Linked DNA regions of Callithrix jacchus. The protein of the gene in region 4 purifies or fractionates together with the protein of the main gene of each other region. This does not show direct contact. Links are inferred from orthologs where the notes say so. Each region holds a gene or a part of one and is shown on either strand. Other genes may lie near its edges.

Region 1 (4,308 bases), on a different chromosome or scaffold from region 4:
GAAGAAACAGACACCCACACATATCTACCAACACACACACACACAAACCCCAGGCGTTAAGAAATACATCTTTTCCATGTGACACAGAGCTTATCAAGTGTTGTCAGCAACGCTGTGGCAGACCTCATCAAAACCCAGTCAGAAGAGCCCAGGAACTTACAGACCTAGGTACTTCATGACTAGGGAGGAGCTGGTCCACCAACTGTCACCTCAACAACTTCAGATCACCTGGGAATGAGGTGAGAGGCCTGGGGAAGTGGCTGCCGGAGATTTGAACACCCAAAATCTATACTTGTAAGCAGTGAAGACTCTGAGGAACCAGAATGGTGCTAACATTCACCTTATTTTCCCAGCTTAATTTTGACTGCAGAGCATTAGGTTTCAGGTATATAAATTCTGCGGTCTGAAGACAGTGTGCTACCACTTCCTGTTGGAGCCCCAGGGCTAAATAAGAGTTATGGGATTTCCCCTCCTCCACATCAACTGAAGACACAGCTCACAGCCTTTTTACCACATCCACCTCAGAGAAAATATAAAGACCCAGATCTCCCATGCGATTCACCTCCTTTTAATGAGCACTTCCTATTCCAACCTGTTTCAGGACGCTGCTTTTCACACCTTCATAGCGATTAAGCCTCCAAAGAGCCTCGTTTCCATCATTTTTTTTTAATTGACTCACAGACTTGAATCCTTCAAAATGAAAGTAATTTTTAAAAGCTACTATTTTAAAAGGAAGCAGACATCCTTACAGGAAACACAGGACAAAAAAATAAGGAAAAATAGAGAAAATGAATAAAAATATTACAAACAAGCAAGTCATCCAAGAAACTTATGAGAAACAGCATCAGTGAGATTCACTTACTTTCAAGGCAGGAGATGCTCCTCGGAGGATCAAACACAGAATGGACAAAAGGACGCCCACTCAACTTGTTAGAAATTATCCTTTATCATCTGTATTGCAGTATGCATTCAACAATGAAAAACAGTGATTTGAGGCTTTGTAATTAATATGTGTTAAAACTTAACGCCCTTCAGTTGCGGTACCAACAGCTACCACCAAATCTTAGGCATCTACTTGAGAGATGACATTTAAAATGTGCTTTCTCAGAAAAGAAAAAGTCCCACTCAAGACTGACTGCCAAGAACTTGCAATTCAAACTTCCCTAAGCCCAGATATCATAGGAGGTTTTAGACCATTCAATCTATATGAAAGACACCAGAATGAACAAACAAACCCCAGTCTTTTCTAATACTTAAAGAGTGCTCTATATCGAATACTCTGTTTTACAAAAAGATAAATTACCCTTTAAAATACACAAATATGTAAACACATGTATTACCAAAGCCCTAGCTCCCTATTATTTCCCAACCCAGAAATTCATGGTGAAATATGCTGTAAGAACCATATGAAAGACGCCTAAATAAGCTATTATTAGAGGCCAGAAATATCACCAAGACAACCAAAAGCTGAGATTCTTAAGGTACTTAATTAATCCGCAGCTATTTAACAGGAGAAAATGATGCTAAGGTGTTCATTTCTAAGAGCTTAAAACCCTTCAGTTTATAGTAAGTTAAGAGATCTTCTTACCTGAACACAGTGTCTCTCAGTACAAAAGTAGGAAGGAGAGCTCCAGCCAAGATCAGAAAAACTCTTGAATCAATTGGAAGTAACTGGGAGGTATATCACATGTTGTGATTCATTTAACAATAATTAGAATCAAAGCAAAATATACAGGGAGGCGGGAGGTGGGCAGAATGTAAGATCAATTCCTTGGCTGAGAAGTTGTTAAACATTCAAACCCAAGGACTTAAGATACCGAGAAGACTTGCTTCTCAGGAGATGGTAGTAAGGTGGACCATATTTTCCTGACCACACCATTTCCAAAAGTCACCAATTCCCTTAACATCCGTTAACAATCACAGAACAAATTAACGCTCTATAGACATAATTCCATCATTAGTCACGTTTTGCTTTCTCCTGCACTTGACCCAAAGGAAGTAAAGAGAAAATGGTAATCAGTTGCTGGAACTCGTCCTGCACACTACTACTTTCCATTTCCTCCCTTTTCCATCTTCCGTCTTCGCTGCTCAACCTCCCTTTACTACGATGTTGCTTCTGCTTTTCCTTTCCGTCTCACACCCATCTCTCCTTTACGTTCTCCACCAAGTATCCTCATTCCGCCCGAAGGTCCCTTGAACTCTTCTTCCACCTGCAATTTTCCTCTGGCCCCTCCTACGACATCTCTGTCCAGACCTCCTGTGACCAGCGTCCCCCTTCTTCCTCGCCTCCCGACCGCTCATTCCCCTGAATTCCCTTCCAGTTGCCTGGCTCTCACCTCTCTGTCCCTGGTGTCGTCTATCCCTTTACTTCACGTCCCTCTCATTCCCCCTTTCACATTTCCTTCCTCTCTTGTCTTTTAATCCATTTTCGCGTCCACGATCCCCTTCTCTCCCTACATGAGATTTCCTGCATCTTCCCCCCAACACATTTTGTCCCTCTAGGACCCCTCCCTGTCTCCGAACCCTCCCGTTCCCCCAAACCCCCAATTCCTTGTTCCTCTGTTCCCCTTCCCCTTCCTTTGCCCCCAAGTTCCCCCTTCGCCCCTGCCTCAGGTCTCCGCTCGCCCCTCTCCCTCACGCCCTCGCCCCTCTCAGTACCCCAGCCACCCTGCAGTCCCCGGGGTCTCCTCTCCCGGGCTCCCAAGCGCCCCCCGCCCGCTTCCCATCCCCTCGTACCCGCCCCCCAATTCTCTCTCCGGTCCCGGGCCGCAGCCCCTCCCTCACCGATGGTGGAGATGAAGGTGGTGTTAAAGGCGTCCTCTGAGAAGCGGAACAGAAGGCAGGTCTTGCCCACCCCCGAATCGCCGATCAGCAGCAGCTTGAACAGATAATCGTACGTCTTCGCCATCTTCTCGCTCCGGCCCTCTGACCGGGGAGCCTGAGGAGGCGGCGGAGAGAGGCGGGAGGGGGCCGCGGGCGAGGGGGCGTGCCCGTCAATCGGCCGCTGCTCGCCCCGCCCCGCTCCCCGCCCCTCCACTCGGAGAAAGCCTGCGCGCCCCGCCCTGCACTGCCAATCTGCGAGGGCTTCGTCATCACTGCCCGCTCTCCGAGGCTTCATGGGACTTGTAGTTCCTCCGGGGAGCTTCGGGCGTGCCCCGCGCGGTCTGTCCTGGCGGCTCCAGTGGATAAAAGACCTGCTGTGGGCGGGGTGAGAGCGTGGGGGCGTTTCCACCGGAGCAGGGAAGGGAGACCTCGTTTCGAACTCTGCTGGTCAAGCCGCCGGAACTGAACTTTGTTATTTCTTTGTGTGCGGGCGCCTTGTAAATCCAGGACCTCAGAATCAGAAACCCGTAGTCCCCGCATCTCTTCCGCGGAGACCCGGAGCAGAGATGCTTTCTTTTCTTGGCGCTGCTGTGGCGCAGCCTACGGGTTATCTGCAGAGTGCATCATCCAGCTTCTCTCCCAGGCCATGCCCAGCACCACTGTAATCCCCCACCCGCAGCTCCTCAGTCACAGAGCTGGGAAAGAATGGTTACCGTGCTAACTCGAACCTCACTCGTGCCTCTTTCTTCAAACCACACAGACCAGAGCCAAACACGGTGGGTATTTAGAGGATCTGCTACGCTGATCGCTCCCCTATGCCGGAGGAGGATGGATTTTTAAATCTGGGAAGCCTTGTGCTACAGGTCTGTGCCCCATAAAACTGCAAGCATCCTGTGAGGCAGGAACCGGGCCACGGGAACTTACAGAATAAGATTTGAATTTAGTCTTGGCTCTGCGCCTTAACCGCTGTGACAAGTCACGCAGGCACTGTACATCTCAGTTTTCTTAACTGTAAAATGGATATGAAACAAGATGCTTCATAGGATTCTAGTGAAAAATTAAATGAAATGCTAAACGTGAAGGCTCTTCGAAACCCATAAGGCACCGTAGAACTGTTGGCGGTGATGGTAATATTCATCACTCTTCAGTAGGCTCTCAATTAACTGATGACAAATATAGGGGGGAAACAGCATTCTGTTACACTCAGGTTAATCCTTTATTATTTATTGTCTTCGGCTAATTCTTTGTTTTGTGGATTTATTGTTCAGTCCTCTTTCATTAGCTAGTGGTAGAAACCCAACCAGATTAGCTGTTGTGAAAGGGGAGTCCAGTGGTTCAGGTAGTGTAGAAGCAAAAGGCTAAGAAGGTGTGGGACCAGGAGTCCATCCTGCCAGGCCTCTCTGTCTCTCATCTGTTGTTCTCCCTTCCAAGTTTTAATTTCTAATGTGTCAAATAGCGACACATAAAACCCACATGAACAAAAGT
Region 2 (4,561 bases), on a different chromosome or scaffold from region 4:
TGGTGCAGCGCACTCACCCTGCATGTTCATTCATTTAGCAAACAAACCAGGCCAAAGAAGGCCCACTATTAAAAGATAAGGTCACATCTGACCCCAAATCCCAGCCCCAGCTCTACCACTTTCTAAATGTATGACCTTAAGCAAGCTACTTAAGTTCCTTTAGCATGTTCTCTAAAGCAGAAACACATACTTGCCTTATCTTACTCCAAAAAAGAAAAAAGTAACAAAAATTAAAAACAAGTGGGGAAACAAACCCCACTATTCCCAGGGTACCTGTGAGGAATATGTATGAAAATAACTTTGTAACTTTAAAATGATTTTTAAAAATTAGTGTTATTGCCCCTCTACAGTTTAACAGCCCACTAATCATGAGAGGCAAGAGGGCAGGAGAGGAACAGCATCAGAAAGGAGGGGTTTCTGTCACACACAGAGCCATAGCTTTCTGCCAAGCAGTCAGACCTCTGCTTGGACTATAATTTCTGGATGCCAGAAGCAGCTGCATTCTCTCCCAAAGCACTGGGGCCTTCCTCGTCTGTCTAAATGGCCGAGCTTCCCCTTCAAAAGTCATTTCAGGCCGGGTGCAGTGGCTCACACCTGTCATCCCGGGACTTTGGGAGGCTGAGGCGAGTGGATCACCTGAGGTCAGGAATTCGAGACCAGCCTGGCGAATATGGCGAAACCCCATCTCTACTAAAAATACAAAAATTAGCCTGGCGTGGTGGCACGCTCCTGTAGTCCCAGCTACTTGGGAGGCTCAGGCAGGAGAAGCCCTTGAACTCAGGAGGTGGAGGTTGCAGTGAGCAGAGATCATGCCACCACGCTCCAGCCTCGGTGACAGAGCAAGACTCCATCTCAAAAGAAAAACAAACCAAAAAAAATTGTTTCAGAGTCAGAGCTGGAAGAGCATGTCCAGACAAAGGAAAAAAGGTCTCCTCAGAAGGCTGGTCAGTCTCATCCCAGGACTCCTGAAGACTGACAAACCATGGTCCACTCCTGAAGACGTAAGTCTGGTCAGAGACCAATGGCCAGTGAGCAGTCAGGCCTCTCTGACCCTGCCCCTCAGATGCCCAGGCTGCCCAGATCAGAAAAACTAGATTGGCTGAAGAAGTCTCCAATGAGCCCCCAAGGAACCCACACAGATAAAGAGCTTGTGATCCAGCTGTTGACCCTAATAAGGAAGGCTTCTGTTGTCCAATAAAAAGTGAAATAAGTAGGCTGGGTGCGGTGGCTCACACCTGTACTCCCAGCACTTTTGGAGGCCAAGGCAGGCGGATCATGAGGTCAGGAGTTCAAGACCAGTCTGGCCAACATGGTGAAACCCTGTCTCTACTAAAAATACAAAGTTAGCCGGTATGATGGCATGCGCCTGTAATCCCAGCTACTCGGGAGGCTGAGGCAGAGATTTGCTTAAACCTGGGAAGTGGAGGTTGCAGTGAGCTGAGATGGGGCCAATGCACTCCAGCAGGGGGGAAGTGGGGGCGCTGGGGGAAGGTGAAATAAGTCCTAGGTCTACTCACAAGACTGGAGAAATCAGACACTAGTGACTGTCCAGAAGTACTCAAAAACACCTCAATACCAAAAAACAGCACTTTTAAGCAGCACGAGAGGGTGGTAAAGGTAGCTCAGAAAACTGAAGAGCTACAGACATTCCCACTATCTATCCCACTTGCTATCTACATATCCACTGTAGATAGCAAGGGTCAGTCACGGCCTCAGAGACAGGCTACTCCTCATTAAGGTACAGTCTCGGGCCTGTACTTTGGCCACATAACAAAGCTTGGTCAGAGACAGCAGCTATTTCACACACCTAAGCCCCAAGCAACAGTCCATACGGTTGAGGGAACCAGCATTTTCTGGCATGTGTGGGAATTCTTCAGGCTACAATTCAGACCCCAGAACTGCCAGTGGGATCTTGACTTAGTCCTCAGTAATAAGTCCAAGCCCAGAAGGGATTAGATACCAGCGCGGTGTGGACCTGTTGCTCAGGGTGGTTTATGTGTGTGTGTCTGGAAGTGGGAAAGAGATAATTCTTCAACTCCAGACTCCTCATTTTGGGTCTTATTCTCCTGCCTATAGACACACGGACAGCAGTCCCGGGAGAAGCAGTCCCTTTGAGGAGGCTTGAAAACTACTCACGTGCTCTGGGAGGACAGAGCTGAGCCTGGAGCAAGGGGGGAGGGGAGAGAAGATAATGAATGGGCATATCCACCCTGATCTGTGATCTGTAGCTAGGATTGAGCAAACCTCAGCTAAATTCTTCAGGGGCAGAAAGAGAGAGACACTCAGAGAACAACATAACTAGAGAATAGGGCAGGGAGACAGAAGGGGCAAAGCAAGAAAACATCTCATTCCTACTAAATGACCCAGACTTTTAACTGAGGTCCTGGTTGGTTTTCTGGCTTGAGGAAAGAGGGAAGTAAGGAGTTGTGGAAGCGCAAATACACTTCTGTGCGTGTGGAACGGTCTCACCCAGACGACCCCCTCCCCCATAGGAAATCGACATATTCCTCTAGGGCTGGAGGGGACAACTGGTTTCGTGGGACAGGAGGAAGGAAAACGGCGACAGACAGCACTCCCTGTCACTTCTAAAAGACAAGAAGGACAGGTTCCTTCACACCTGGCAAAGATCCTTCGATTCTGGGAGCAAGGCGAGCGGAACTTAGGGTTCCTCTCTCCCACAACTGGAATGGACAGGCCAGAGAACAGTCATAGGAGTTTCCTTAAGGCTCACGAAAGGCAGGTAAGCTAAAGAAAGAAGCTCCCCCGCTCCTTTGGCCCGACGCCTGGGGAACCCCTTAGGAGGAGGCTACGGGTCGGGGGAGGGGTCATTATCCCCCTAAACGGGCTGGGTGGTGAGTAAGGGCTGCCCTGGAGATGCTTCAACGCAGGCGAGACACCAGGTTCGGGGACAGGCATACTCACGGCGGCTCCGGGACGGCAGCGTTACTTGGGGCCGGGACTCGGACAGGCTTCGCTTCTCTCCCCCCCCCCCGGCGGTGTCCCAGGCTCCGGCCTCCACTTCCGCCTTTCAGCCGCTCCGGATCCGGATCTCCACCTCCGTCCCGCCCCTCAATACTACCCAGGTGATTGACAGGGTAGAGGGACTAATGGAAGGCACTCTTGGCCGACCTATCCAGCGGCTCCGGTAGAAACGCGGGAGTGGTTGGAGGGCGCGCGCGAAGGATGGCGGGACTTGTAGTTCGCAGCGCTGGGAGGAGTTGGCGGCTGCCTGGGATTTGGGCTTAGGGTGGAGCCGGCTGACTGCGAGGCGGAGCCCGGCCGGGAATTATTATTTTTTTGTGAGGAGTCTCAGTCTGTCTCCCAGGCTGGAATGCAGTGGCGCGATCTCGGCTCACTGCAACCTCCGCCTCCCGGGTTCAAGCGATTCTCCTGCCTCAGCCTCCCGAGTAGCTGGGATTAAAGTCATGCACCACCACGCTCGGCTAATTTTGTATGTTTTGTAGAGACGGGGTTTCACCATCTTGGCCAGACTGGTCTTGAACTCCCAACCTCGGGTGATCCGCCTTCTTCGGCCTCCCAAAGTGCTGAGATTACAGGCCAGAGCCACCGTGCCCGGCCTACGGCCGGGAACTTTTTAAGGCCAAGCCTGCCACCCGCGTCACCGCCGGTTCCGGACGCCCGAGGGAAGGCGAGTGGCGGAGAGTTGGAAGAAGGCAGAGGACTGTGTGTGCAGAATTGGAAAAGGAAAAACATGGTGCGAATGAATATGCACGCGAGGCTGCGTGGACCAGTCCTGTGAACTCGCTGATCTGGAGCAGCCCCTGTCTGCGCTTTCCGGCCAAGTCAGCTTGGGAAGCCCGATTGCTGGGGGCCTCTGTGATGGGGAAGGCGATGAAAGCGATGAAAGGCTGTAGGAAAGGTTCTCTGCAGGATGCTGAGTGAGATCAAAGGGAGAGCTTCTGCCACCACCCCCTACTTGGTGTGTCGGGGGGGGGGCCGGCGCAAAGACCATCTCCGCCTCTGCCTTCCCCTGCTCCCAGCCAGGGTCAGCTCTTCTCTCTGACGCGGAATGTAGAGCTGGATAACCTCTGGCTCGGACCTCTCCATCTGAAAATAAAGACTAGAACCACCCCCACTCTGCCCCTCCCCATATGGATCAGGACTATTTGTTTCTTCTGCTCCTCTGAATATGGATCCGGCCAGCTCCTGATTCCGCCCACCCTTACCTCTCAACACAGACTAGTACCTCCTCTTCCTTTGCATGTTACCCTCCAGGGACACTACTGAAAACCTGTGTAGAATCAAAGCTCACTGGAGACAGCTGTGACCATTGTGCCTCTAGTACTGGCCAACACCGGGCATATCCTGGAGCCTCAGCTGGAGAATCGACCTCTCTGGGACAACCTGCCACAAAACTGTGCCCACATCTAGTTCCATCTGGTCAGCAGGGTGTCTCTTTCTTACATCCATAACACACAATCCCCACTCCAGTGCAGGTGATCATGAGAGAAGTGAAAGGGAAGAGGGAAGAGGGCTTGTTGGCTTGTTGGAAGGACAGAGTGGATGGGGCGGAGTGGGATTCCTAGCAGGCTTTGGCTGC
Region 3 (4,283 bases), on a different chromosome or scaffold from region 4:
AGGACCCTGTGAGCTAACTGCTCTAATGGTAACCATTCAGGTGGGGCAACCACAGTTCTACACCACACCCAGTACCATATTTAATTAGCATTTTTCTAAAGGAACTAGAGTAAGGAACTTATCTTCAAACATTCCAGTGACGAGGAAGCCTTCTCCAACCAGGTCTCATCCCTAGTGCTGACGGGAGGTGCTTTCGCTGTGCTCCCAAATACCCATACACATTTGTCACTGCCTTAAAAAGCGGTCATGTAGCTCCCAGGAGCTCTGATCCACTTCTGGACAGCATAATACCCAACACACAGTAGGTGCTCGATGAATTATCTGATGAGTAGAAGGTTTTGAAAAGCAACTCTGAAGCAGAAACTGAAGCAGGGCTGGTTAGCTTTCTCAGAGTCTTCATGCTTTTAGCAAGCCAGAGGCCATGATCATTCTCTGAACATCCCACAGTTAGAAGGACGCACGGAGTACTGGAGTACTAGCACTTCAGTACTGTAAGTATTACAGGCTACATGTGAAGCAAACAAAAATGAGGATGAGAGAAATTCATCCACACTCAGAGTAGAAAGTGTATACTAAGGGACACAGAAACAACTGCCTGGTCTCCTTGCCTCCTGGTTTTGTCCTCATTCCCAAACATCCTATGCAACTCTGCCAAATGAGTTTCATTGTCTTCATGCCAATGTCTTATTAAGATGCCTTCTGGTTCCAGGTGCCCATAGGATAGGGTCCACCCTCCTTAGCAGGGCAGTCAAGGTCTCGCAGTATTCATTCCCAAGTCCCCTAAAGAAACCTTCCCCAGAGGTGAGGGGAAGGGGCTGCTCCACTGCTGCCAGGCTTGGAAAACACTTCTTCCCCTCTCCTCTGCATTCTAAGGCACACCTTTGCTCATCCATCTCACCCTCCATGCACCCAAGCATTCAGTTACCCACCTATAGGTACCTGATTTCTCTTCATCACACAGTGCAACTCTATTATCCCTCATTTTCATATACTTAAGTGCAGAGCCATAACAGATTGACAATTCTGAACTGAATTTAACCCTACTTTATTTGTATCAGGTACTAAAATAACAGCATAACCCTCATTTGATGGCTTAACAACTCCCTGTACTCTGTATAATGCAAGATTGGATTTTGAAACAGGCAAAGTTACGCTGCTAATTTTAATATCATGTCCCCAACGCCAACATTTTAAAAACAAATGGTACAGACAGCACAAAACAGTTCCAAAATGATCTATTCCAATAAAGCATTAAGGGAAGTAAGCTCTGAAAAAACAAAAAGACAATACAAAAATTGGTGGTTTAATTTTCCAGTAAGACACTTTAAATGTAGTACTGTTTGGTTACATGACAATTTCAAACCAATTCATCTCAAAGTCGTACCAACAGCCTTGGAACTACCACTGGTTATAACACTATTAATAAACAGAATTACATGAAATGATACTTTTAATTCTATCAATTCTCCTGACGACTCAGTTTTTTGGACCGCCCAATCTCTCACTTCCTATAACGGAAGGTAACTGCCTTATTTTAAAGAATGGGTTTCTCCTAGTTTGGAATCTTTTAAGGGGTTTTCCATGGAAGCAACTGCTACCCACACCCACCTGACAAATCTCAAAGTCAAATCCTTTAAGCGTGACTTCATTAAAAAAATTTTCCCCTGCAGTTTTTATTTCAGATCCGCGGCTATTCTCCTCTTTGACCGTGGAGCGTTCCTGTAGTTACTTCACTCCTGTCCTTCACCGAAAAGAATGGTACTGGAGGAATCAGCCCCACGCCCGCCAAGTCACCGGGTTGTTTGAGGTCACGGATAAAAACAGCTGAAGTTCCTCTGACCGGTACTTACGGTTAACACGAGAAACTTAGTGTAGTTTTAGTCTTAACATTCTCCGTAAGTGCCTTTAAACTTCATCATTTCATGAAAATGGGTTCAACATAAGAAAACTGCCCTGGTTGCGAAGGGATCACATCCGCGGCAGACAGCGCGCGCTGGCCTTGGCCTGCAGGGGCGGCCCGGGCGACAGCGGCCTTCGGCGTTCACTCCCCTGCCTGCCTGAGCCCCCACTGCACCCAGCTTTTTCTTGGGCGAGCATGCTAAGAGTCGAAGTTTCCGTGGAGAGCCGCTCCCCCAGTCCCCCCGGGTCGCCAGAACCTCAGAGACAGCGCCGGGGGCCAAGGGCAGGTCTGCGCAGAGGCGGCCCGAAAACCTCCGCCAGGCTTTGGGCTTGGGGTGGAAGGCGCTCCACGAAAACCTCTGCCCCTAGTTTCACCGAGAGCCCTATCCCCGAAAGGCTCCCAGGCTCGATGAGACTCGAGGCCCACGGGGAAGGGCACCGGCCCGGGCGCCAGGAGGCCCAGCCCTGCCCGGACCGAGGTCGCCGCGGCGCCCTTACCCACGGTGGACTTGCAGGCCTCGCAGAAGGTGTCGTCGGTGAAGCGCTCCATCAGGCTAGTCTTGCCCACGCCGCGGGAGCCGATGATGATGACCTGCAGCTTGAAGTCGGCCGGCCTAGGGGGCTGCTTTCTCCGGCGGCCTTGGCCGCCCGACAGCGCCGGGGAGCCCGCGCCCAGGCCGCCTCCGCCGCCCCCAGCCCGCCTCTGCAGCGCGGCGCCCGGATCCATACACGCATGCGGCTCCCGCTCGGCCCGCCGCCCGCCGTCGCCGCCCGCCCCCCGGCCGCGCGCCCCGGGCCCCGGCGCCCCCTCAGCCTCCGCCGCGCGCGGGGGGTCGGCCCCGGGCTCGGCGTCCGCCCGCTCTTGCGGCCCCAGCAACCCGTGGGCTCCGCGCTGCAACTGCGCTGCCGGTCGGTTCTCAGAACCTGGATCCCCTCCTCCGCCGCCGCCGCCGCCGCCACCGCCGGGAGAGGAGGAAGGGAAGCAGCTACTCCGCAGTAGCGGCAGCAGCATCCCGGACGAGGAGGGGCAGGAAGCGCAGGAGCGGGCGGGGCGGCGGGTCGCGCGGGGCAGGAGGCTGGCGGACGAGCGGGAGCCCCCTGCCGGCGGGAGGACCGCGTACTGGGGCCTCGCGGGGGCTGCAGCGTGCGGGGCTTTCCCGCACACCGCCCGGCTTTTTTCCTACCTCCGTTCCCCACCCCCGCTTTCCTCCCTGTTCTGCCGGCTCTTTGATCTTATCTTCCTCTTACCACTTCCCTTTTCCCCCTTTTCACTCTTCCCTACTCTGCTTTCACTCTGCCCTGCATTTATAGTTAACAGAAGAAACTTAGTGTCGTTTTAGTCTTAACATTCTCCGTAGGCAGTTTTAAACTTCAACATTTCAGCGCATCATGAAAATGGATTCAAAATAAGAAAAAGAACACCGTACACGGGTATTCACCACTGCGCGTGCGCGGTGTGGCTGGACCACTGGAAAGGCCCCCACCCCAGGCCCGCGCCGCGTTCGCGTCTACACCGGCGCTCTCCCACAAACACCAGCAGGTGCAGGTCCCTGTACCGCCAACCGGGCCGTGGCACTGCTTGGTCTCTCGCCATCACGTCTGTCTTCCATTTTCCACGGAAACGCACGAAATCAGTTTTTAACCCTGATTGCGGTCTCACTCAGAGTTCAGAAGTTTGTATGCTGTTTCATTTTTAACGTAAGTAAATGACATACTCCTTTGGGGGAATAAGCAAGTTAAAACTCAAGCAGTGCGAAGAGATTGAAACTTTAGGAATTATGGACTCGAGTCGTATGTTTTGCCATTTCTATTTGGAAGGATTTAAGGATATAGAAAATCCCTGCTGATTCCTTGCCAGAGATTTGTTTAGCAAATTCCTCAGCTTGAACTTGAGCACCTCAGAACACAGGGTTCTGAATATGATAGGGGCTGGCGACATTTGCCGAATGATGACGTTACCCACCAGATTTCAGCTGTACTGTATTTAGAACTCGGTTTAGTAATGCACAGTACGTGCGTATGTTACACAGCAACCCTGATTTGTAAAAACCTAGCGTTGCCCACAGAGTAGATTGGAAGTTTACATCTTTGAGAGCATTCTTAACTGTGCAATCACTGTAGGGATCTTTTTAATACGAATTCTGAGAATACGTAAAATATGATCCATCTGTATTATTTGGAACACAGATCTATCACTCACCATCACGGAATTTACCTTCTTTCTTTCTTTTCTTTCATTTTGTTTTGTTTTGCTTTTGAGACAGTCTTGCTCTGTTACCCAGACTGGACTGCAGTGGTGCGATCAGGAGTTGCAGTAGTTGCAGGCTGGAACTCCTGGGCCCAAGTGATTCTCCCTTCTCAGCTTCCTGTGCAGCTGAGACCAC
Region 4 (3,737 bases):
TGGCGACGGAACAGTCAGCTGACGCCCGCGCCGTGACGTCAGCCCCCCAGAGTCGCGCGGACGCCCCGCCCCACCGCGCACCAACTGGCCCGAAGTGTGAGCGCCGCCCGCCCGCCTCGTCGGAGACCGCCCCTGACCCCGCCTGGACTCCCGCTCCAGCCCCCACCGCTTGCTACTGTGGACCCCGGAGGCTTAATCCTCCAGTCCCCCGCGCTGCCTCGACGTTAACCCGACCGGAGGCTGGGCCCCCGGTCCCTCTAATTCCTCCGGTTGACCCCAAGGCTGGGCTCCGCCCCCTCACGTCTTTGATGCTGATCCCTGCCCAATGCCGGATCCCCTGGTCCTGTTGCTGCCTTCCTGCCTGAGGCCAGGCCCTGCTCCCCGTGCATTAACCCGAAAACTGGCACCCGTCCCCCTGTTTCACTTCGAATTCCATCCAAGGCTGGCCCCTGGTCCCCTCTGCCCTCTCCCTTCAAGCCAGAGGCCAGGACCCCAGCTCTCTCTGCTTCCTCCACGTTGACACCCACCCCTGCCGCACTCCCCCCGCTTGGAGCACCGAGGGCTTGCAGTCCTTGTGCCAGCATTCACTCATTCGGTGAATTTGATCTTACGCAGGTCAATTTGGCCCCAGGGTGCTCTGGGTGAGGAATTCCTTGGTGAGTAATGCCACCTTTTACAGTCCAGAGTGAAGCTAAGCCAGAGCCCCAACCCAGGCAGCCAAAGCCCTGCTAGGTACCCAGCTTTTGGGAAGTAACTGTAAAGATCCAGAGGTTCAGGTTTCAACCGTTTTATTGGGAGGTTCTGTTTTCTGTGAAATACACTAGAGAGGGGGAAGGGGACACATTCACTTTGCAAGGTAAGGGTTTCCCACCACTAAAGGAAAGGCATGGGGCAGGGCACACGGGGGTTTGGATCCATTTTCCCACCTCCTCCTGCTTTGCTCACATTTCTTTTCTCTCAGCCAATACCAGAGAACAAAACACAAAGACAAGAAACAAAACAGCAAATCAACCTCCAACGGGCCACGCCCAAGCCTTCCCCACTCCCCAGGCTGGGCAAGGGCTGGGGCATCTCACTCTACAGCCCCCAGGCAGCACAGGAAGGCTGCAGGCTCAGAAGGGGTGGGTTGAAGTTAATAAATTAGAATAAATTAGGGGGGAGGAATGCAACTTTGTGCTGGGAGGGCCCCTTCTCTCCAACACGCAAGAGTTGGTAGGGGGAGGTGGGGCATCTCCAAAGGCCACTACAGTGGGGGTAAGAGCGGTGGGGGCAGAAGTCACCCTTTCCTCCATGTTCTTCCCAGAGCAGAAGGGGTGGGGGGAAGAGACACACACAAGGAGAGGAACCCTCTTTTCCTAGGATAAGGAAGGGCCAAGAAAGAGGATGCTAACCAACCCCCCATCTTCCAAACCATCGCTAGAGTTAAGGATTTGGTCAGTGGATCAATGAGGCGGGTGATGGGAAGGTGGTGGGGGAAGCAGAGGATGCTAGAGCCCTCGAGAACAGACAGGCAGGGGCAGCAGGGGCGGGGCAGCCGCAATCACTGCTCAGCTTCTCCAAAGACATCGTTCTGCTTGCGCTTCATGTTCTCGAAGTCAAAGGCCGTGCCAGCCATGCGTTTGTAGATGTCTTTGATGTCGTTGCAGGTTGTCTCAAAGTGTGTGGTGGCATCATAGGAGCAGGAACAGAACACCTGGAAATAGCCAGAGCCCAGGGCCCAGGGTGAATCGGGCAGGTGCCCTGGGCGGGCAGCCAGGAGCCAGGGCTGGGATAGGCTGCTTACCTGGCTCTCAGAACCGTCATCAATGGGCTCATACAAGTCACTGATAGCCACAAACCTGAGGGGCAGATGGAGGGGAGGGGACAGGCCTCACAATGGGCCATGCCCATTGTGGGTCCTTAAGCCCAGCTCCTGGGCTCCCTCCCTCTCCACCCCCAGGCTCAGCCAAGTCCCTTACTTCTGGTCAATGGGCTCCAACAGCTCCAGAGCTGGCTCCACCTCCTTTTCGGGATCCATGGTCTCCACGGTAGTGCTGGCAATGGCAATGTACTTGCCCTGGGCCGCCACGTTGTGTGCGTAGGAGATCATGCACACATAGATGTCTGGCCACAGGAAGAGCTCTGTCAACTCAGGCTGGAGGCACCAGCCGTGTGCAGAGAGGGGTTCCAGCAGCTGGACGCAAGTCTGGCCCGCCTGCCCCTCCCCAGCCCCACAGAGCAGGTAGCATCCAAGCTGTCACCTTCCCAAACGGGAAGACTCCAGTCCACCCAAACCCTAGGGATCCAACTTGTGGTGACTGCAATGTGGGTCAAATTTTTTCTTCGGAGAGATAAGGCAAGGAGCTCCGACGCTGATGGGGAGATAAAGAGCAACCTCAAAGAGAACACCCTGGAGGAAGCTGGACCGGCGCCTGGCCTACCTGACTTCCTGTTGACCTGGTTCTGGGGGATGATGATTTGGCAGGAGTTGGCGTCATTGGTGTTCTTGATGGGGTGGCTAAGAATACAGATGATGCGGATGACCTGGCCCGCCTTCCGCACACGGTCTGGGATGTAGCTGGGGTCACAGATCAGCTGCTTGCAGCGGGCCACCTGAAAAGGCACCAGAGGTCCTCACCCCTGTCATATCACTCCCCTAGGTAGTCCTGGGGCTGTACTCACAGCAAGGGCAAGCAGCTCTGGCAGACAAGGCGCTCCTCAGAGCCATCACTACTGCCCCTCCTGAATGCATGGCCCTGCCCTGCAGCTCTGAGGTGGGCCCTGACACACAGGCCGGGTGCCCGGCCCCGCCCCCCATGGGCACTGTGATCAAGAACACTTTTGCACCACAGACGTGGCATGTGGACTCTCAGACCCCTCACCAACAGACATGGCTCTGACGACTTCTGGACCCCTAGTTCCCAGCTGCAAGGCCCTTGAGGCTGCGTAGCAGCAGACCCAACAGCACAGTCAAGAAGAAGGTGGCCACACCCCACCTCAACCATGGTGACAGCAGTGCATGGGGAAGGCTCACCTCTCCCTCAGACTTCACGCCCACCACCTTGCCGTTCTCCATGATGATGTCATCCACAGGTTTGTTCAGCATATATGTCCCCCCATAGATGGCACTCAATCTGTGGTGAGAATAGCCACGGTGAGGGCCCCTCCCAGGAGAAACTGGGACCAATTCCACTGCACCCTTCCCTCCACCAAGGTGCAAAGAAGGCTGCCCCAGGCAGGCAGCAGGCAAGAGACCCCGGGATTCATCCCAGCTCTGTCACTGCTGTGAACTCTGGCCCCATCTCGACAGGCTTCTTCGTCTCTGGAGCTTCTCCCCAGAATACACTGTCAAGGGTCAGCAGCAGGTGGCATGAAGGAGGAGTGCTCCACACCCACCAAGACAGCCTGGGGGACCAGAATGAAGGTCCTCTCTGGAGGTCAGCTCCCAGCTAAGCCCTGACTCAAGGTTCCATTGCCCTGGGCCCAGTCCTGGTGCTTCCAGGAACTGAGCAAGTTGTTTGTGGAGACTTGGTTCTTCGACTCTGACTTCGATACACTGGGGTTGTGCCCCCATCAGCCAAGGATGGAGCGAAGTCAATGAAGACCAATGCTAGCAGGGAAATGCTCAAGGGGCCAGCTCCACTCCTGGCCCTAGTCCTACTCAGCCAATGCCAACTGAAAAAACCCACGTCCTCACCTTGCAAAACCCTGAGGCAGCTCACCCAGGCCGTAAAGCGGGTATAAATACGGGCTCTTGC
Region 5 (3,842 bases), on a different chromosome or scaffold from region 4:
CTGAGATTAGGACAAGGAAGGGTGTGTTGGGGAGGGGGTGAGACATAATATATTGAGATAATATCATCAATTATTTTAAATCCAACTTTCAAATATTTTTTAAGTTAGAAAAGCTACCTGAATCGTTCTTGTCCTGCTGTATCCCATATTTGTAACTTTACATATTTACCACCAACATTTATTATCTTTGAACCAAATTCCACTCCTATTGTATGATTTGAGTCATCTTTGACTAAAAAAGAAAAACAAGAACAGCACATTTAATTTTAGAACATTAACAGGCTTATAGATTTAAATAAGTGACACTAAAACCAAGAGTCACATCAATGGAGAACAGACATTACTCCAGCTATTCATTTCTCCAGCATTCCACTGAGAAGATGCATTTAGTTTTAAAGACAATACACACAGCCCCTACTCTCAAAGAGACATAAAGATGTTTTCCCAAAACCCCTAAACAAATCATACATTTAAAAGCCTATGCCTGAAGGTACCCCTGCCATATCTGAACTGCATCCAACTGTGCGCTGTTAAGACCTCACAGACGGGACTATTGACATACCAGGGTACCATTCAGGGCATAATGTTCAGTGGTGACAGGTCTGGAACTCAGTAAGTAGTGAGGTGGAGGCAGTTCCAAGTACTGTATTTGAATAGTTAAATATTCTAAAGAAATAACAGTGAAAGGAAGGAAAAACAGGGAAAAAGGGAAAAGGCGGAAAAAAAACTGAACCAAAGAAAAAACACCCTCAAACAACCAACCCCAAAACAAAACACTCTCAAACACACCCCCCAAACCCTATGCAATCTACAAGTGTCTGAGTTTTCATTCATTGTATGTTCTATGGGAATGATTTGGGATGAATTCGTTTAAGAAATTAGAACTGTTTGAACAGGCAGGAAACAGGTAAAATAAGTATTTTGCTAAACCTAGCGGGAATACATGGCCTGTGAAAGAACATTTCTGTGATGATGAACAGAGAAGCTAAAATCAAATACACAGCTATTCAGTCCACTGACTAGTTTACATTTTGTAACTGCAAAACAAAATTTAACTGTTCCAGAAATCAGGGATGCTACTTGGCAACTGGCTTTATTATTTACAGGGCAGAGGGTAAATGGTTACAGTGACTATGCCAGTCTGTTTCATGCCCAGACAGTATAGAACTAGTATGGAAATTCCATTAGGAGTAAAATAACAGGCAAAATGCAGAGTAAAATCCTTCAAAAGACAGTAACTAAAGGCCAGGGGCATCCTGGTTACAATGAGAGAACTTCCCTTCATCACTGTTTTGAGGAGTTGCGGGGAGGACCCTGAAGGAGAGTTCTCTGAGGAGAGAATGATTATATAAGCTGGGTACTTGGACTGGTACCCTGTGGGTATTCTTTTCTAAGTCTTGGCAACTTGTAAATAAACTATCCAGTGAATGAACATTTGTTAATTTCAGTAAGGACTGGTTCTGTGACTAAGCCACACTGGGTCTATGTCACTAAACACAGGCTCCAACAAGCTCTTGGTTGATTAAAATGGAAGTAGCAGAGTAAATTCCTATAATTTTATGCTTCTTCAAAGCTTTCTGCCAAGACACCCTATACTGGCTCTTTCTCCTTTTTACCCACCTATGGTGTCTGACATTTACTTCCTTAACATGCACTTAACTAAATAAAACATTCTGTTTTTGAGCCTTTGCCCACCTGCCACTAACTAGACAGGTCTTTCTCCACAATTCTTTCCATTATTATAAAAGCATTTTTTTTATTTTAAGGGCCTTTCAAACCTACAGTCTTCTACAGTTTTCCAAGGCCTCACATAGTTTGAAATAAAAAAATTCAACCTCCCTTACCAAAACAGTGAGGGTCGATGGTAAAAGATGGGATGTGTGGTCAAGAGCTCTGTTCCTGGTCTATAAAACAGAACTGATGACAGCAACTGCCTTAACTACAACAGAAGGCCACTGTAAGGATCCAACGTTGTTATTTTATCCAAAATCTATGCCTAGAGCTTCTCTGGCTGCTGTCAGGAAATGGGATTCCTGCCAGAGAATGCCTTTGCGTTCTTCAACATCACTATATGATCTCTTAGCTTCTGGAAAATGTACAGTATAAGTAACCATGTATTGAACCATTGTTAAATTGAAATGCTAACTTAATAAAAAAATGACAATACCAAAGTTTAATAACAAAACCCTTTAAAATACTTTTAAACTATTACTTTTTACCATGGAAAAACGTTGTAAGTTTTACTGTAAACAAAACTGAGCAAGAGAAGACTCTAAGGAGACATGCACAGAAGAATGACCATTTTATGTCACTTACATTTTTTTTCAATAAACTGATGGAGTAAGCAAGATTTGCCAGTTCCTGCATTCCCAATAACCAAGAACTTAAACAAAAAATCTGAAAGATAAAAAGAGACTGTGAAAATAACCTCAAAATGGTGCTATGAATTTCTTCTTAGATCATAAACATAAAAGTTAGTATCTTAGTTGTTAATGTAACAGGAAAAAGAGGTAACTGAGTATCTTGTAAAATGACAATACACATGTTGACTTACCTTTTCACATTTAAGGATTTTAGGTATTTGGGTGACATGTTAATTCAGTGGTTTTCCAAACTGTGCTCTTTGAATAATTACTTTTCAAGCTCGAATTTGAAAACTACTCTTGGAATGAATAAAATTTATCCTTTATCTAGCCACTATCCAAAGAAATATGCGTATTCAGTTGCAAGCAAACTTAGTTTAGAAATTTCAAGTGTTTTCTGTACAAAAGGATAAGCCTAACTCTGAAGAGTCTGCTTCTTTCTTCTGTTTGAACACAGGTAAGTTTTGTCTGCACTTGCAGATTTATGTGGTCTTTCTTCTATTCCCTCATCTGTAATCTGTAACTGCTCAAGCCAAGTTTGGGTCAGCACTTCAAGTGTGAAATTTGCCTGATTCAATGACAAACTGAATAATTTCTTCTTTACATAGTAATATATTTAATTTGGGATATTGTTTTTTATGAAGTGGAAATAAAGGATTTCCAAATCCTGGAAAGTGTTAATTAGCATGATGTAGTATCAGTAACTTCGTATTACCCATAGGAATTCACTCTGTTTTTTCTGTTAGCAAAGAACTGTAGTTCTGCATAGCTTGGGAGCCCAGGAGTACCGGAACACTAACTTTCTCCCTTTTTCACTCAGCTGCTGAGTCCACTCCTCACCCTTGCTCCTGACCCACAGCTGTTAATCCCCACTGCTGCCTGACTCTTTCTGTGGCCTCAAAGGCTCTGCTCTGTATTCCTGGCTCCCCTGTTTACACCTTTGAAAATGTCACCTCCACACTCTTTTCCAGATCAGACCAAGCACTCCCTAATCATAGCTACTTTCCCTCCTCAAATTAAGCTCCAATAGTGTGTTCCTTTACTGACACTTGCCCTAGCTCTGTCACCTGTTTCTTAAAAACTATGTTAATCACCACTGAGAGATGGAGCCTATTCAACTTCTCATAATATTTGCATGGTTATAGGCAATCAAACTAAAAATAATGCTATTAGAATTTTGTTAGCATTAAAAAATTCCAGGCTGGGCGCATTGCCTCATACCTGTAATATCAGAACTTTGGGAGGTTAAGGAGGGAGGATTGCTTGAACCCAGGAGTTCAAGACCAGCCTAGGCAACACAGCAAAATTCTGTTCCTAAAAAAAATAAAAATAAAAAACTTAGCCGGATGTGGTGGAACACAGCTGTAATCCCAGCTACTTGTGAGGCTGAAGAGGGGTAGATCAACTAAGTCCAGGAGTTCAAGGCTGCAACGAGTTAGGATTGTGCCACTACACGGAGCCTGGGTGACAGAGCACTGC
Region 6 (4,474 bases), about 140 Mb from region 4:
ATATATATATATATATATATATATATATATATATATATATATATATATTTTTTTTTAGCGACAAGGTCTTATTATTGACCAGGCTGGAATGCAGTGGTGCAATCATGACTCACTGCAGCCTTGAACTCCAGAGCTCAAGTCGTCCTCTTGCCAGCCTCCAGAGTATCTGAGACATGCACCACCACACTCATCTAGACTAATTTTTAAAAATTATTTTTAGTAGAGATGGGGTTCTCACTATATTGCCCAGGCTGTTCTCAAACTTCTGGGCTCAAGTGATCCTCCTGTGTGGGTCTCCCAAAGTGCTGAGATTACAGACATGAGATACCACACTCAGCCTGTTTTGCTTTTTTAATGAACACCTGGCCCCTGTCCTTGAGTAGGCCAGGCAATAAATTCCATTCTGGGATGCTGTCAGAACCTAAGCTTAGGACTGTGATTGGATTGTAAGCTTCAGGAAGGTTGGGACTCCCTACCGCCCTTCTCATCAGCACCTCTTTGTATGAGTGCCCCACAGGCTGCTGAGACCACTGAAATAATGCAGAATCTAAACTTTCTAAGTCCACTTTAATGGCTCTGAATAGCTCTTAAGTTCTTTTTGTCATTTTTGCCTTAAAGCAAAAAAACAAATTCTGCTACCAGAAATTATTTGCTCACTCTTTAATCTTTCAAATGAATATGCTTCTCAGTATAGAGAATTTTCCCCTGCTCACTTAAAATGATGAGGTATCCCAAATAGGAAAATGACATTGCATTTGAAAAACTACAAACACAGCTGAAATGTAAGCTCTGGGGTTACTGGGACAGCTGTAAAGCAGGGTTTCTCGACCCTCGCACTAGTGACATTTTGGGCTAGACAACTGTGGGGGGCTGTCCTGCAGGTTATAAAATGTTTAGCAGCAAAAATTAAAAATTAAATAACAAAAATAAAAATAAAAAAGAATGTTTAGCAGCATATCTGGCCTCTACCCACAAGAGGTCAGCAGCACCTTCCCTGCCCCCAGGTGTGAACCAAAAATGCCTCCAGGTGTTGCCAAATGCGTCCCAGGAGGACAAAATTGTCCTCTCTTCCAGTTGAGAACTCCGACTCTAAAATTACCCAGACCTGCTTTGAATTCCAGCTCCACCCCATCACAACCTGGGTCAGCTTGGAAAACAGACTGAATCTGCCTATGCCCCCCCACATTCCTCAACTGTAACATGGAGCTCTTACTGAAGAAATGCTACGAAAATTAAATGAAATGATGTATGTACAGGATTTACACGCACAGAATAGTCACCACCAGAGTGAGTGTCCAATAAATGGTCAGAAATGAGGGGAGGTTAAAAGAAATAATTTCTAGAATTCAAGGATCTTATCTTTAGGCCTCCAGAGTACTGCAGTCTAGTCAGAAGAAATGGTTGATAGAGACAAAAAGAGATGAGAGAGGTTGGGAAAGCGGTGATAGCACTCAGGTATTTCCCTTATCTCTAAGAATGTGGCTTGGAGTCAAAGCCAATTATGTTCTACTTAGACTCGAACATTCCAAATAATAAACAAAAAATATGCCCAGATCCTAAAAGTCTCCAAAAGACAAACTTTTGAGTATAAACGAGGAATTTACTCCAGCAGACACAAAAATACTAAAAGTACCAGACTACATGGTCTTAGATTTAAGAATCCAAACAACATACTACAGTTCTAGAGAAGCAATCATGACAACGTCATAATCTTCTAAAGGAAAAACTAAAGGCTGGCTTCTTAAAAGTTCCTAACTGAATCGCTCTGGGTTCCTTAATCTCTGGTTGTACTCCACCGGACAGCTTCTGAGAGCACAGGCAATGCAGGGATTTTCCATTACAACGGTGTCAGAGACCGAAGGACAAACACATTTTTTTTTAAAAAAGCAATCAAATTCTGCCCATTGATTTTTAGCAGGATGCTAAAATCCTATGAAAAGATTGTGGTCACATGGCGATTTGGAAACTAGCAGAAAAGTTATTCCTCAAAAGAACTGTAGTCACGAGATGTGTCATCCCTAACCAAAAAAAAAAAAAAGGCAATACGTCCACCAACTATTTGTTCAGCACTTAAAATTTTCATCTTGCCTTTTGACTAAGTTGGAAGAAAAAAGGGAACGCAATTGTGAAACATTAGCCAGCGTCTGAATCAGATAATGCCCCCAAACCGCCTGCAGCCTCTAAGATTGGCTTTACTTTCCGAATTCCTCACCCGAGTGGTCCTAAGACATCGAACAGTCACTTTCTGCTAGGCTGAACTTCAGAGATCGCCAAAATCAAGTCGTGGGAGCGCCTTTGTTTTCCCTACATTAATTATTCGGATGTAGCGTTTGGTTTGGAGTGTGTGGATGTGTGTCCCGGAGTGGCCAGGGAAAGGCTGGTGTGTACGTGTGTTCCCAGGTGACTGGGTGCATTTCTCCGTGTGTATGTGCGCGGGTGTCCGGGCTTTTGTACCTCCCTCTCCAGTGTTTGTGTGCGTCCCCGTGCGTGTTGTGTTTCCATGTGTGTTCCTCTCCCCAGGGATGTTGGGACCCGTCTTTCCTCCTATGTCAGACAGCAGGCAGGGAGACAACCAGCCGTCCTCTCTCCCACGGCGGCCTTGTGACCCGCGCTAGCCCCGCGCGCACCGCACCCTGCCCCAGCTGACCGAGGCCCGAGCCGCCCCCTCAGACCCCGACACCCGTGCGCCCGCCGGGCCCCGAAGGAGTCCCGAGTCCCGCTCACCTCGCGGACACACGAAAGACTGCCCGAGAGCTCTGGGCCGGCCCGTCTGGGTGCTATGAAGACAGAGAGAGGGTCGGGGACCCGCAGAGCAGGAGGCGGCGGCGGTAGCGCAGCCAGGTTCCAGCTCCAGCTGCCTCCGTCCGGCGCGGAGGGAACAACATGGCGACGGGCCGGGGCGGGGCCAGGGGTAAAGTGGGGCGGGGCCCTGAGAGGCGGGGCCTAGAAGGCGGGGTCCGGCGGCCAAGACCTTGGGAGAGGGGCCCGGGGGAGGTGGAGCCGAGGCAGGCCGGGCCTGAATCGTACTTTTCCTTCGGGTCGATTGCTCTTCGTGGGTCCTCCAGTCTGCGTTCGGGCGAGAGCGAGTACGAAATAACCGTCATTTTGAAAAGTTTATGTAAAGTGGAAACAAACAGACCTCATGAGACAGGATGTCGTGATTACAACGATAAAAACGACTAGGCAAACGGACAAACAACGAACAGGTAGATGAAAAATGAAAACAGTTGTGATATTGTGGAAAAACAAGAACTTTTAAAATAAAGCTATTAAAACTTTAATCTTGTTAAAATACTGCCTCTGTCATCTCTAAATAGAAAGCGATGGTGCAAAAGGTGGTATTGGAGAAGCTCTCCTTAAGTCCTTGCTTTATGTATGAAGTTGAGTGCAGAATCCTATGATACCGAACCCTGCAGGGGAGAGGGACTCTTAGGGACATCTCAATACATTTTGTAAGATATATTTAGTTTATCAGAGAACCAAATACCGCCTGTTCTCACTTACAAGTAGAAGCTAAATGATGAGAACACATGGTCACATAGAGAGAAACAACAAACACCCGGGCCCACTTGAGGGTGGAAGGTGTGAGGAGGGAAAGGAGCAGAAAAAAACTAGGTATCAGGTACTATGCTTATTACCCGGGTAACTAAATAATCTGTACACCAAGCCCTGGCGACAGGCAGTTTACCTACATGACGAACCTGCACATGTATCCCTAAACCTAAAAGAAAAGGTTTCTTAAAAAAAGGTTTAGTCTGTTTAGTTTCCAAGACAAGGATCTCACTTTTATGATGTTGGGGGCCACAACAATTTAATCTCCAGCTCTTTGGGGAGTCATTTTCAGGAAATGACTTTTCATTCAGCACTAGAAAGGTCATATTTGAGAAAGTTCCTCACAAATTAAAAAGGCAATTTTAGAGTACTTCTGAAAATGACATATAAGCTTAAATAATTTTTTTCTCACAAACAGATCTATATTTCTGATATACAGGTCATTTCCCCAAGGAAATATGTATAAATGTTTATAAAATGCAAATCTGTTAAATTGGTAGAAAGAACAGATGTACGTTATCTTGTTTTAAAATACATATTAAAAGTACATAGTAAAGCATTATATATAAACATTAGAATTAATTTTCTAATAGAAAAAAAGACATGTAGTTGGGTCAAATTGCAACAAGCAATCCACAGGGTAATTAAAGAAATGCCACCTGAAAATCATACATCCCAACCATAGTCAAGAAGTGATGGAATAGGAGTTTATCTGTGCAACTGCTAATACCAACCAGCTAGTAACAAGTGATCTCATGAAATTATTGAATTTTGAGTTAAAGCGAACCTTGAGAAACCCAACAGCTTTCATAAAAATGACCTAAGAAGGTTCCATGAGTGACTCTTAGGCTGTTCCAAAATGCAAGAAGGCATTCAAACATATTTGAGTGTAGCTTATAGTACCTGAAGAAAGAATAAGGAA
Region 7 (4,560 bases), on a different chromosome or scaffold from region 4:
AGCAAAACTCCGTCTCAAAAAAAAAAAAAAAAAAAAAAAAAGCCCGGTGCAGTGGCTCAAGCCTGTAATAATCCAAACACTTTGGGAGGCCAAGGCAGGTAGATAAGAGGTCAGGGCTTCAAGACCAGCCTGGCCAAGATGGTAAAAATACACAAAAATTAGCCGAGGGTGGTAGCGGGTGCCTGTAAACTACTCAGGAGGCTGAAGCAAAGAATTGCTTGAACCTGGGAGGCGGAGGTTGCAGTGAACCGAGATCGTGCCATTATACTCCAGCCTGGGAGACAGAGCGAGACTCTCGTCTCAAGAAAAAAACAAAAGGTCGGGCACAGTGGCTCATGCCTATAATTCCAGCACTTTGGGAGGCCAAGGTGGATGGATCAAGAGGTCAGAAGTTCAAGACCAGCCTGGCCAACATGGTGAAACCCCGTCTCCAATAAAATACAAAAAATTAGCTGGACATAGCTTGTGCCTGTAATCCCAGCTACTCAGGAGGCTGAGGCAGGGGAATCGCTTGAGCCCAGGAGGCAGAGGTTGCAATGAGCCAAGATCACACCACTGCACTCCAACCTGACGCCAAAGACTCCATTTAAAAATAAAAAAAGAGGAAACAGATTTGGATAGGTTGAATAATTAATGAAGGTCAGGCAGCAGATAAGTAAAAGAACTGGATTTGAGCACCAGTCTGTGCAGATATGTCATAGCACAATGCCTCCGCTAAGCTTAGTATCACTTAAACACCTTCAGGGTCTGTACTTGGCTTTCTGGACTCACCATGTTTTGGAGAAAACACTAGACTTCGAGTCAAGTCTTAATTCCGCCAGTGCCATTTAACTGCTCACAGCCTGTTTCCACATTGTAACCCAACAGTTGTTTGTTGTCCAACTAAGAGAATGCTCTGCAGCCAGAGGGGGCAAGAGTTACAAAAAAACTGAAACTAGTTGAGAGGGCAGGAAGAGAGATGGAAGGACAGCTGAGTCCTTTTCCAAGAGAAATAGATTAGAAGTGCTAGAAAGAGCCACGGGGGCCGGGCGTGGTGGCTCACGCCTGTAATCCCAGCACTTTGGGAGACCGAGGCGGGTGGATCACAAGGTCAAGAGATTGAGACCATCCTGGTCAACAAGGTGAAACCCGTCTCTACTAAAAATACAAAACATTAGCTGGGCATGGTGGCGCGTGCCTGTAATCCCAGCTACTCAGGAGGCTGAGGCAGGAGAATTGCCTGAACCCAGGAGGCGGAGGTTGCGGTGAGCCGAGCCTGGGTAACAAGAGCGAAAATCTGTCTCAAAAAAAAAAAAAAAAAAAAAGAAAGAAAGAAAGAGCCATGGGGAAAGGAAGAGAAATGAAACAAAATAGAAGGAAAAGACTGTGGGAGGCAAATGGGGAAGTCCGGCTGGGCTTCCCAGGGATTCACTCACCAGACTTGCAGTTTGATCTTCTTCCCCTCTATATCCACAGTGCGGATCTTGAAGTCGATTCCTAGGGGTAGAGGGTGTGCACTGAAGTTGAGACATGCATGCACACATGTAAAACTGTGTGATGGGAGGGACAGGAACAGCAGTGTCAGCACCAGAAATTCTGCAGGGGAGGCACTTGGGGAGCAATCTTGTTGGAAATGCCAAGCTAAGAGAATTTTCCCAAAGCTGTATTTGTACAGCAAGAATACTATTTTTACTTATATTTTATGGATTTGGGGAGGGAGAAAGTGTGAAAATTCTGCATGGAGGCTTAAGATTCTTAAGCCACCTCTTGGGTCCATTCATATATGCCAGCTGACAACTCTCTGAATTCAGTCTCTCTCTCCCCCCAAAAATTACTTTCACATTCCTCTTTTCTGTTTTCTTAGAGCCTTCTACTATTGGTATGCCACCCGCCTTCCTCCAAAAGAGTAAGGAAACAAAGTAGCTGAAGCCAGTCTATGGCTATGAAGCCACCAGTGAATTAACTAGTGGGCCAAACTTGGCACTAGGAAAGTCTGAGGCTGAACAGGATTACTCTTGAGACAATTAGGAAAGAGGGGCATTTTTCCTTTTCCTTTGTAACCAGAATTGTCATGAGTCTTCCTATTTCCCAAGCCAGAGGAGATGAAGAAAAATGAGATGGGAGGAGGGGAGAGAGTGTTCTTCTTAATAGAAACTTGGGCACCTCCCCCAAGCCCGCTGGGGGCCTCTGGGAGGAGGATGAGTCACCAGGCTGACTCAGAGACCCCAAAAGTCCCCTCATTTCCATGTCCGTCACCAAGCTGGCTAAGCTACATATTCATGATCACAGTCCTTAGGCCACCCTCCAGTACACCCAGCCACCTTGTTCCACTCTTCCCAAACTCCTGTTCAGCTGAGGTGCAGGAAGAGTGGGGTCGGAAAACTGGGAAGTAGATGGAGAGGTGGGGCGCAGTGGGAGAGTTTGAAGTTCAGCAGGACTGAAAGAGGCTGGTGGATCTGGAGAAAAAGATGTGTTCCAGAGGGATAGAGGAAATGCGGAGAGCGGATCGAGAGAGTTCTAGGTGGTGAGGATGGGGAAGAGGGGCTTAGAGGAAAATAGAGAAGAGTTCTTGTGGATTTGGAGAGGCTAAGGAGATGGTACCAAGAAAATGAGGGGCTGGCAGCATTTGAAGTGTTACCTGAAGGCCTCAAAGAGGTGAGAGGTTTGGTTAACTATACAGAGACATGCAGGGGGAGGGGTCAGAGCCAGGGGTTGAGGAACTAGAATTTAGGAGCCTTACTGTAAGGGGACTGATAAGTGGGGTCACTAGTAAACCGGGAGCCTGAGAATGAGGTCACAGGAGAGTCGGGGTCTGGGACATGGCCAGCGGGCTCACCGATGGTGGAGATGTAAGTGTTGTTGAAGTTGTCCTCTGCAAAGCGAATGATCAGACAAGTCTTGCCCACCCCCGAGTCCCCGATCAGCAGCAACTTGAAGAGGTGGTCGTAGGCTTTGGCCATGGCGGACACCGGGGGAGCCGGGGGTGGGGTGGGGAGCTCCTGGCACTGGTAGGCGGGATTGGACGGTTGGCAAACAGCGGCACGGAGCCCTGGCCAGGAAGTTTTCCTCCCTCTCCGCCCAGGCTCCGGGAAAGAGGAGAGGCGGCACTCCTCCGGGCTCCACCCCCTGCCCGCCCACCCTTTCGGGCCGGCCAAGGCGGCCAGTCTGGCCTCTGTTCTCTCAGACGGAGAGAAATTTTAGAGGGATTGGGGAAGGGAAAAGAGTTTTGGAAATATGGGTGAAGATAGGAAGGGCACTAGAAACTGACAAAAATTTGGGGCTGAATTTTGGAGGTGCTATTCAGCGAAGCCAGGAGATTAGTTATGATCGGTTTCCGGGGCCGAGTAAAAGGCAGTCCTAGAATTTTAGTGTTAGTGGTCCAAGCCCTTAGTTCTATGGATCCCAATTCCCTTTGAAAAAAGCGGGATGGGCAGTAGTAGGTTATTTGTTGGGTCAGTCTGCCCCCTGGTGGAAAAGGATGAAAACGTAAATTAGTTATAGAGAATCGGCCCTATCACCCCAACACACACAGCCCCACCTAGACACATCCTGGGGCTTCAGTTGAAACGATCTCCCTAATGGGGCCCCATGTGTGACTTCACTGACCAAATAGCTTAGGAAAACAGAGATTTGAACTAAAAATGTCATTCTCCACATGGATCTTTTAATACGGCCTGTTAAGGTGCAGTATTCCTGAAACCTCACTCAATAGGCTGTGAATGTGTAGCCTTGGTAACCAGAAAGCTGAAAATGGACAGCATGGCTATAAAGAAACAAGTTTATCTCTGCCTTTATTATTAATTTATTTATTTTAAAGATGGGGTTTCACCATGTTGGTCAGGCTGGTCTTGAACTCCCGACCTCAGGTGATCCACCCACCTTGGCCTCCAAAGTGCTTGGATTATAGGTGTGAGCCACTATGCCCAGCCTCTGCCTTTAGAAAAAATTATTCTTGCTATATGTGTGCTGGGGGTGAAAAATTTACGAAAAAGAAAGAAAAAATGATTTAAGACCCAGTGTGGTGGCTCACGCCTATAATCTCAGCACTTTGGGAGGCCTAGCGGGGTGGATTACAAGGTCAGGAGATTGAGACCATTCTGGCTAAAACAGTGAAACCCCACATCTGCTAAAAATACAAAAAATTAGCTGGACATGGTGACAGGTGCCTGTAGTCCCAGCTACTTGGGAGACTGAAACAGGAGAGAATCACTTGAACTTGGGAGGTGGAGGTTACAGTGAGCTGAGATCACTACACTGCACTCCAGCCTGGGTGACACAGTGAGACTCTGTCTCAAAAAAACAAACAAACAAAAAAACGGTGCTCACACTTGTCATCCAAGTACTTTGCCAGGCTAAGGTGAGAGGATCCCTTGAGCCCAGGAGTTTAAGACTAGCCTGAGCAACATAGTGAGACTCTGCCTCTATAAAATAAATAAATAAGCCAGACATGGTGGTGTGCACCTGTTCTAGCCACAGCTACTTGGGGGGCAGAAGTGGGCAGATCCCTGGAGCCCAGGAGTCCAAGGCAGTAGTGAGCCATGATTATGCCACTGCTCTCCAGCCTCGGTGATAGCATGAGAG

The links.
Region 1: the proteins of GDI1 (region 4) and RAB8B purify together in Homo sapiens (affinity purification with mass spectrometry; 3 studies listed by BioGRID and IntAct, counting the BioPlex papers as one, with this or other methods). This does not show direct contact. The link is inferred for Callithrix jacchus from reciprocal best matches to the Homo sapiens genes GDI1 and RAB8B.
Region 2: the proteins of GDI1 (region 4) and RAB5C purify together in Homo sapiens (affinity purification with mass spectrometry; 3 studies listed by BioGRID and IntAct, counting the BioPlex papers as one, with this or other methods). This does not show direct contact. The link is inferred for Callithrix jacchus from reciprocal best matches to the Homo sapiens genes GDI1 and RAB5C.
Region 3: the proteins of GDI1 (region 4) and RAB12 purify together in Homo sapiens (co-immunoprecipitation; 4 studies listed by BioGRID and IntAct, counting the BioPlex papers as one, with this or other methods). This does not show direct contact. The link is inferred for Callithrix jacchus from reciprocal best matches to the Homo sapiens genes GDI1 and RAB12.
Region 5: the proteins of GDI1 (region 4) and RAB4A purify together in Homo sapiens (co-immunoprecipitation; 4 studies listed by BioGRID and IntAct, counting the BioPlex papers as one, with this or other methods). This does not show direct contact. The link is inferred for Callithrix jacchus from reciprocal best matches to the Homo sapiens genes GDI1 and RAB4A.
Region 6: the proteins of GDI1 (region 4) and RAB9A purify together in Homo sapiens (affinity purification with mass spectrometry; 3 studies listed by BioGRID and IntAct, counting the BioPlex papers as one, with this or other methods). This does not show direct contact. The link is inferred for Callithrix jacchus from reciprocal best matches to the Homo sapiens genes GDI1 and RAB9A.
Region 7: the proteins of GDI1 (region 4) and RAB13 purify together in Homo sapiens (affinity purification with mass spectrometry; 4 studies listed by BioGRID and IntAct, counting the BioPlex papers as one, with this or other methods). This does not show direct contact. The link is inferred for Callithrix jacchus from reciprocal best matches to the Homo sapiens genes GDI1 and RAB13.

Annotation. Positions count from the first base shown.
Region 1 is NC_133509.1:10,007,066-10,011,373, reverse strand, and holds the start of RAB8B (ras-related protein Rab-8B), read right to left. Parts: upstream 2,928-4,308; 5' UTR 2,909-2,927; coding exon 2,785-2,908; intron 1-2,784. UniProt on the Homo sapiens protein: The small GTPases Rab are key regulators of intracellular membrane trafficking, from the formation of transport vesicles to their fusion with membranes.
Region 2 is NC_133506.1:121,574,146-121,578,706, forward strand, and holds the start of RAB5C (ras-related protein Rab-5C), read right to left. Parts: upstream 3,024-4,561; 5' UTR 2,923-3,023; intron 2,741-2,922; exon of another isoform or gene 2,281-2,740; intron 1-2,280. UniProt on the Homo sapiens protein: The small GTPases Rab are key regulators of intracellular membrane trafficking, from the formation of transport vesicles to their fusion with membranes.
Region 3 is NC_133514.1:54,463,878-54,468,160, forward strand, and holds the start of RAB12 (ras-related protein Rab-12), read right to left. Parts: upstream 2,915-4,283; 5' UTR 2,912-2,914; coding exon 2,398-2,911; intron 1-2,397. UniProt on the Homo sapiens protein: The small GTPases Rab are key regulators of intracellular membrane trafficking, from the formation of transport vesicles to their fusion with membranes.
Region 4 is NC_133524.1:150,236,021-150,239,757, reverse strand, and holds the end of GDI1 (rab GDP dissociation inhibitor alpha), read right to left. Parts: coding exon 3,677-3,737; intron 3,114-3,676; coding exon 3,014-3,113; intron 2,593-3,013; coding exon 2,421-2,592; intron 2,104-2,420; coding exon 1,959-2,103; intron 1,839-1,958; coding exon 1,784-1,838; intron 1,694-1,783; coding exon 1,541-1,693; 3' UTR 772-1,540; downstream 1-771. UniProt on the Homo sapiens protein: Regulates the GDP/GTP exchange reaction of most Rab proteins by inhibiting the dissociation of GDP from them, and the subsequent binding of GTP to them. Promotes the dissociation of GDP-bound Rab proteins from the membrane and inhibits their activation.
Region 5 is NC_133520.1:21,248,454-21,252,295, forward strand, and holds part of RAB4A (ras-related protein Rab-4A), read right to left. Parts: intron 2,398-3,842; coding exon 2,317-2,397; intron 233-2,316; coding exon 118-232; intron 1-117. UniProt on the Homo sapiens protein: The small GTPases Rab are key regulators of intracellular membrane trafficking, from the formation of transport vesicles to their fusion with membranes.
Region 6 is NC_133524.1:13,910,094-13,914,567, reverse strand, and holds the start of RAB9A (ras-related protein Rab-9A), read right to left. Parts: upstream 2,889-4,474; 5' UTR 2,725-2,888; intron 1-2,724. UniProt on the Homo sapiens protein: The small GTPases Rab are key regulators of intracellular membrane trafficking, from the formation of transport vesicles to their fusion with membranes.
Region 7 is NC_133519.1:14,413,096-14,417,655, forward strand, and holds the start of RAB13 (ras-related protein Rab-13), read right to left. Parts: upstream 3,056-4,560; 5' UTR 2,940-3,055; coding exon 2,816-2,939; intron 1,477-2,815; coding exon 1,416-1,476; intron 1-1,415.